Linked DNA regions of Danio rerio. The protein of the gene in region 1 purifies or fractionates together with the protein of each later gene. This does not show direct contact. Links are inferred from orthologs where the notes say so. Each region holds a gene or a part of one and is shown on either strand. Other genes may lie near its edges.

Evidence for each region.
Region 2: the proteins of klhl22 (region 1) and emc1 purify together in Homo sapiens (co-immunoprecipitation; 3 studies listed by BioGRID and IntAct, with this or other methods). This does not show direct contact. The link is inferred for Danio rerio from reciprocal best matches to the Homo sapiens genes KLHL22 and EMC1.

Annotation. Positions count from the first base shown.
Region 1 is NC_133183.1:61,542,962-61,547,546, reverse strand, and holds the start of klhl22 (kelch-like protein 22), read right to left. Parts: upstream 2,886-4,585; 5' UTR 2,754-2,885; intron 1-2,753. UniProt on the Homo sapiens protein: Substrate-specific adapter of a BCR (BTB-CUL3-RBX1) E3 ubiquitin ligase complex required for chromosome alignment and localization of PLK1 at kinetochores.
Region 2 is NC_133198.1:24,184,694-24,188,422, reverse strand, and holds the end of emc1 (ER membrane protein complex subunit 1), read right to left. Parts: intron 2,299-3,729; coding exon 2,214-2,298; intron 2,116-2,213; coding exon 1,986-2,115; intron 1,895-1,985; coding exon 1,715-1,894; 3' UTR 617-1,714; downstream 1-616. UniProt on the Homo sapiens protein: Part of the endoplasmic reticulum membrane protein complex (EMC) that enables the energy-independent insertion into endoplasmic reticulum membranes of newly synthesized membrane proteins.

The DNA.
Region 1 (4,585 bases):
TTCACTTTCGCTCTCGTGGATAGGGAAAACTTGTATGCACAGACATCAATAAGCCTATAATTAATTTTGTTTGTTAAGCGCAAAGCTTTGTTTCAAAACTATTTCTAAATTCAGTTCTAATTTCCAGCAAACAAATAAACGAACAATAATAACGAAGTGTGCTCAAAAACCTGAGTTATATCCAAATACACATGCTGTGCCCCATATGGTCTAAAACTTGACAGGTGGACATGGTACTTTGAATATTCGGCCTGAAATCACATGTAATTATGACATCAAAAAAATATTAGCACTATTTATTTGACGGTAAACAATGTTGCACAATATTAGTCAATGGCTTCTGATATGATTTCACTATTTAGAATTTGCAAAGAATACTTTTCTGAAAATTATATTAAGGAGAAAGTCTGAATGCGTGAATGTATAAGCAACTTTACCTCAATTTAACACTACCATACATACATACCATACATACATACTGTCATGAACAGTAAACAAAGTCACTGAGGTAAAGTTGGTTTTATATTCGCAGTTTTTTTACGATTGTTTACACTCTAAATAAAAATATCCACACAATTGCAAAATTCTACTCCAAGGAGAAAAACACTGCCACAGATTTGCACAACATTACACACTATGGGCTCTATTTTGACGGTCCATGCGCAAAGCGCAAAACACAGGGTGCAAACGCTTTCAGGGCGTGTCAGAATCCACTTTTGCTAATATAAGGACAGAAAAATCCACTTTGCGCCGTGGCGCAACGTCTAAAAGGGTTGAGTTTATTTTCTTAATGAGTTATAGGTGTGTTTTGAGAATAAACCAATCAGAGTCTCATCTTCCATTCCCTTTAAAAGCCAGCTGCGTCACGCCATGAGCGCATTTTCTATTTTCATAGCGTAAAGTACGTGTAAGTGGAAAAACTGAGCATTTCACTAGCAAGAAAACAGTAAAACAGAGCATCTACAGTGCGAGAATGAGAGATAAGGCATCTCAAACTCTAGTTTCACTTTCGCTCTCGTGGATAGGGAAAACTTGTATGCACAGACATCAATAAGCCTATAATTAATTTTGTTTGTTAAGCACAAAGCTTTGTTTCAAAACTATTTCTAAATTCAGTTCTAATTTCCAGCAAACGAATAAAGGAACAATAATAACCAAGTGTGCTCAAAAACCTGAGTTACATCCAAATACACATGCTGTGCCCCATATGGTCTAAAACTTGACAGGTGCACAAATCTAAGCTTGTTTTTAATAAAACAAATATAAACATGCATATAATAAATACTGCTAATAATAATAACATTATACAAAAGCAAATTGAATGAACTGAAAAAGCCGCCGAGATGAAGAAAGTATGAAGGCAGTGGTTTTTAAATTCACGTAGGCTAGAAAATAATATGGTTTGTAATATTTTAATCCTTTATATATCCTTATTATATCCTACATATATAAATAAAAGTGCATTTTTATTCACAGAATTTCCACAAAGTATGTCAACTCACAAAACTCATGTCTTTCTTTTATCACATCCGTAACGCATTCATTTTGCCGTCATTTTAAATATAAAACACCTGAATAGACTGGGGCGAGGCAGTGGCGCAGTAGGTAGTGCTGTCGCCTCACAGCAAAAAGGTCGCTGAGTCGCTGGTTCGAACCTCGGCTCAGTTGGTGTTTCTGTGTGGAGTTTGCATGTTATCCCTGCCTTTGCGTGGGTTTCCTCCGGGTGCTCCAGTTTCCCCCACAGTCAAAACATATGCAGTACAGGTGAATTGGGTAGGCTAAATTGTCCTTAGTGTATGAGTGTGTGTGTGTGGATGTTTCCTAGAGATGGGTTGCGGCTGGAAGGGCATCCGCTGCGTAAAAATTTGCTGGATAAGTTGGCAGTTCATTCCGCTGTGGTCCCCCCTGGATTAATAAAGGGACTAAGCCGACAAGAAAATGAATGAATATACTGATATTTTTTGATGCCTGAACTCCATGGTTAAGGGGGAAGAAAAATATAAACAGATATTTCAATATTCTGTTAACATATACCTTCTCTGAGTATATACGTTTAATTTTTTTTTACTGCAAATGTCACATCCATAACGCTGGAATCAGCCATATATGTTTTGACTGAAGTGTGTATGTTTTGACTGAAGTGTGTCATTTTGCAAACAATCTAGGAATTCTCCAAATTGAGTGTGCTGTTTGAATAATTGTGATTATACTTTGAAAAAAGAACCCGGTTTTCAAAATTATGTGAGAATAATTGAAAAAAACTGTAAATAGTGTTTATCTAAGTCATACTTTCTTGCATGCTCTCACTAAATATTGAAAGTAAACGTTAGCGTGGTAAACAATATGGAAAACGTGTCGTAAGTTGTCACTGTTTAAAAAAAAATGTGTGTTTAAAAAATACTACTTTATCTCAAAACCGAAGTCATGACTGTCTCACAAAGAAATGTTAATCATAATGTTAATTTATAATTAATTGTCTCAAAAGAACCGCGTTTTTTATTGCCATTAGGCCTTTTTACTTTTACTTTCACATTTTAGGCATTCATCATGTTTCGATGTAAACACTGGCCTGCGTTTAGTCCTCCAGTGAATTAAAGTAACATTCGCAGAAAGTAACGATAACAAAGACTGATGGATATGTTTTGTTTAGCTGACAGCAGTGTGTGGTCGTTATATAAACTAGTACAGTAAATGTTGTGAGTTTGTGTGTGATGTTGTGTGTGTGTGATTTCTGCAACACTCGTTGCACTTACCAGAAAAGGTCTGACGGCGAAAACAAGCTGTTTAATGACTGCAGTCACTCGATGAAAATGATGAATATTAATATGAAAACGACGAGGACGTTTCGGGATGTTTTGATTTTTGAACGCCAGTTGAGTTTCTCCGTGATGTCACGGCAGTACTTCCGGTGTGCAGAGCAAAACAGATGATGACGTCATCAGCAGCTGTCAAATGAAAAGCGCGTGAGGGCTACTTTACATAGATATATAAATGTATATAAATATGTAAATATCTATGGCTACTTCACTGCGACGCTGGTTGAATTAGGTTACAGTAATATATAAATATTGATATCATATATAAGTTTATATATACTAAATTTATAAGTATTCAAAAAACAAACAAAACGAAATGGTGGAAAACAAAAATGTTTAAATGATACATATCAATTAATTTACTGTGGAAAAAAAACTAAATCTGTCCATGCGTCACCAACGTGGTGTAATATGGGAATATACAACATTTAAGGCTAAATTTAAACTAAGTTTAGCTTTATATTTTATACGTTTTAGTTTATACTTTTATTTAGTTTATATATTCATAAACAAAAAAAAAACAACGATATTTTTAGTTGATAAATTTAAACCAAATGTAGTTAAATTTATACATTAAAATTAATTTATAAATGTGACGCAGCCTTAATGGAGTTTAGGCGGGAATTTGTGTAGGGTGAGGGTCTGTAATGGAGAACTGATGGAAATATAGATAACTTCAGTTAAACACATTTAGTTTTGGTATGTAATCCAACTTTATTTTCATAAGGAAAAGCAGCGCTTTTCGTTTTTGTAGCACAATTACTGGCTAATGAATAGGAAGTCGCACGTTCACCTTACTGTGTCGTGAAAAATGTGTTAAATTTGAACATTAAAGTTTTAAGTTCATTGGTTCTGTAATTTTAACTACACACCTCAATCTGTTGACTATTCTTACCATAAACTTTTTTTTTTTATGTCTCATGTAGTTGTACACAGAAAGCTTCATTTTATTTATTTTTATGAATACGAACAACATATATTCCAGTAAAAAAGAGCCCAGACGTGTTTATCATGCACAGTGCTAATATTCCTTGTAGCCAGCAGAGGGCGCCAGTGATCTTTTCCTAATCACATCTCGGGACGAATAAGATGTTTTTCATCATTAATATTACAGAAACTGAACGACAACAGGTATGTTCACTCGTAATAATTTTGCAGATATTATATGATTGCAAAAAAAATGTATATGTGACTGTGGATCACAAAAAAAGTGTACATTTTTGGAAATTGAGATTAATATGTCTGAGTAGCTTTTCATTGATGTATGGATTATTAGGATAAGAAAATATTTGAGATACAAGTATTTGAATATCTGGAATGTGAGAGTTCAAAATGTAGAGAAATTCGCCTTTAAAGTTGTTCAGATTAAGTTCTTAGCAATGCACATTAATTACTATTACAATTTTTTGGATATATATATATATATATATATATATATATATATATATATATATATATATATATATATATATATATATATATGAAAAGGAAATGTACAAAATGTCATCATAAAAGTTGATATGTACCTAATATTTGAATGATTAATTAATTTAAATCGATAATTGTACCTCACAATGTATTTTTGGGGCCTCACGGTGGTGTAGTGGGTAGCATGATCGCCTCACAGCAAGGAGGTTGCTGATTCGAGCCTCAGCTGGCATTTCTGTGTGGAGTTCGCATGTTCTCCCCGTGTTGGCTTGGGTTTCCTCCAGGTGCTCCGGTTTCCCCCACTAGTCCAAAGACATGCGCTATAGGTGAATTGGGTAAGC
Region 2 (3,729 bases), on another chromosome or scaffold:
TCAGATATAATTAAAACTGGGTAGCAATATTGTTCAAAATAACATCTGTTTTGTCCTAAAAAAAAAGGGAATTATACAGGTTTTGGATCGCATTAGTCACTGCTAACAGAATTGTATCATATTCATATTTAAAATTGTCCAAAGAGTGTGTATTATACTTTTTTTTTTAATTCTACATATTGGGAATCAACAAATTAAAACTGCTGTTCAAAAAACAAACTTTGTGTGTATGCTCCATACATTAACTAACTCATGAAGGTTTAGGACAATGACAACATCGGGGTAAACAAAGGGAGAACTTACATTTTGACTGCCCTTTTAAATAATTAAAAAGTTGGTATAGTTGCAAATGATTGGTTGTCAACATTGTTCTGTTTTACAGATGACATAGAAGTCATAAAGGTTTGTAACAACATAAGATGACCAAGTTGACATTTTTAGGTGACAGTCTCTTTTAAATAGTCCAAAATCAGATCGATTATAGGCTACATGCAGTAGTTCGTACATACTTTTTCTAGTTCATACATAGTTGTCAATTATAACTAAATGTTTTGCTGATTACTATTGATTACTGATTATAACTTTACCATCCAGAAAGAATTAAACAATTCAGGGGTCAACAATAAGGGTGTATTCTTTATTATCGATTAGGGATAAAAGAACAAATAATTTATGCATGTTTTAAAAAATCATCAGGTTACCAACTTAACTGAATGCCTACCCTTTTGTTACAAATATTAATAAACTTATTCTTCTGACATCATTAATCTGCAGCAGAGGGGACACTTTCAAAAGTATGTATATAAACAGGCTCATTATTTATGAAAATCAAATGAGTAGAAACATTTTACACAATAATAAAATCACAGGGATTTGTAACGTGTATGAGTCAAAATAAATGTATGATATGGCATATTGGGATCTTGCTCATAAATATCAAGTAAGAAAATGGCTCCAAACCATCCAGTGCATTTGACATACCATAAAATAAGTACAAATAAAACTACCCAAACTCCTTCAAACGCAGAACCTTTGACAGCTTGAAATTTTACATTTCTCATGTGCATTAATGTTTGTCCATTCAAATCCTGTACATGAGATGAGCCAATATATTCATTAGGGTCAGCTCATACATAGTAACTTGAATAATTAAACTTAAAACCCCAAAATCAATCAATCAATCAATCAATCAATCAATCAATCAATCAATCAATCAATCAATCAATCAATCAACCTTTTCATAAATTGAAATAACAATGGCAGTTCCTTTGCAGCATTTCCTCCTCAGTTTTAATACATGAATTTATCCTTCAACCTTTTTGAAAGGCAGACTCTAGACTTAGTGAATCAAATGCGACAATGCTATTATGTTATACCTGGTCAGTCTACCTTTAAATCACATTAGTAATGTTACCCCGAAAGGCACAATAAATAAACAAATTAGACAGTGAATTGTTCAATGCTGAGGGGGGTAAAAACTAAACCTACATCATTATGTCTCTCTGAAAAGGGGAAAAAAAAACGATCATGGCCATCTTTGCACTTACACTCAAAACACCACAAGATCCCCAAGACAGCTGGTTGCAAAAAGATACCAAACTCGTCAAATGATCTTGCGGTTTTGACATGGTCACCAGCTGGTCTTCTGCCATCAATGTGTCGACCACATTGCAGTGAAGGCGAGAGTGAAGTCAACAGGCCATCAGGATGAGTCTTATCGCCATGCCCTATTGAGCAGTTTCACTTCCGCTAGACGTTTGCTGATCATGGTGGCAAAGAAGAGACCGAGGAGGACACTGCTGATTAAGACATAGTCATAGTCATCCTTAAGGACATCAAATTGTTTGGAAGGGAACACTCTAGTCTGGTAGATGTCAAGGCCGTATGCAACCACCTAGAAGGTGAAATTGAAGTTATTTAGTGTGACTACATGTGATAACAACTGCATGGATGTTAAGAGATCAATTGAAGTCCGTGACTCCTACCAAACAGGTTGACTCCAGGCCAGATGGGGCAGTATAGATGCCTCTTACTCTTGATACGGTTTGGTTGTAGTTAATGAACCATTCTGTACGAATGGGCATTTCTGGAGCATATGGTATAAGATTTTCCTCCCTAAAATGGTCAGAGAATCAATTTGTAAATAATTAAACTAAATATATGCTTGACATTTTTCAGATTTCCAACATGATAAACATTAGCTGAAAACTTACCGACTCTGTTCTGAGACCACCTCTGGTCTCCTGGGGTCCAAAAACATCTTTGGTAAGGATAAAATGTTGCCTGATGGCAGCCCCACTATAAAGCAAAAAATATCTTTGTTTTAATTTAGATGCTATTTATTATCATAAGTTATAAAAATACATCCCAAGAAACTTACTACAATGTTATGAGATTAAAGAGCCCCTATAATGAGTTTTTAAAAATGACCTTCCATGCAGTGTGTAAAGTGAAGTGTGTGTTAAGTGAAGTGAAATATCCAGCTAAGGCTTAAACCTGAAAGTACACCGTGTTTAAAACTATTGATTCCTCTATAAAAGAGTCAACTCAGAGTGGTTCAAATAAATCGCGAGGGTAACGAATCTTTAGCTGTGTCGGCATGACGTCGATATGGAACTCAAGCCCCGCCCATTTGTTGCATGCAGACCTGGAAAACTGAAACCCTCGGCCCTGCACACAAACACTGTAGAAAGAACTGGGACCTTGTAAAAGCTTGACAGGAACTTTACAGTACACAGTTCATGGATGAATTCCTTTCTCTATTTCACAAGTGTAAGGCCAAACCCCAATTCTGTTTTTGTACCCCTACCCCTTCCCCTTAGTCCTTGCAACCGAGGGTTAAGGGGAAGGGCTTTAAAATTTACCCCTAAGAATTGGGACAGCACTACATCACCTGCACACGTCATCATATGTCCTCGCAATCTCTTGCTTCATATGAGTTCAGATGATGGCGACTACTGTAGTGATTCCCGTTGTGTTTTTTTTTTTTTTTGGTATTTATCTTCAGGAAATCACTGAAGCCATGTATTATGTTATCATAATGATCTAATGTGGCAATAAGATCGTAACAGTACTGTGCATTTACACCGTGGCCATATTCATTAATGTAAACACATCAAAAACAACATTAACATTATAGCAGACACTGTAAAAAGTACATTCCCAGTCACTGGACTTTTCTGACAGGGTATTCCAGTGTCATTGAGTGTCATTGAGTGTCATTGAGTGTCATTGAGTGTCAGACTGTTGTGGGACTGCTGTGCAGAAGTTATTATTAGGGATTATAGATCGCAAAATTTAACGTTTTTTATTTAAGCGTTTTAAAAAAAAAAAAAAAAAAGCATGACTGTAAAACACGAACGCAGTTATGAATATATTAAAACATGTGTTTGTTTGTTGTAAAAATTCATAATAATAACAAAAAAAGATCTCCTTATTTCCGGGTGCAGTTGGAGCTAGTGTATTCTGGAAATTTTTTCCTACCTCTTGGTTTCGAGTGTGGTCCTGAAAAATCTTCGTTTAAAGGAGTGTATACCCCTTGCCCTTAGCCCTACGCCTTCGAGCTAAAGAGAATTGGGACACCACTACCCCTTCACGTGGTCTAAAACCACATTGAAAATGTGACGCGTGTCACTTTCTTCACAGATTTAAATGCATTTGTGAGCTCGCAATCCACTGCCATTTGTCATTACTATAACCTCCTGTATTGGGCTCACACATATACTCTGC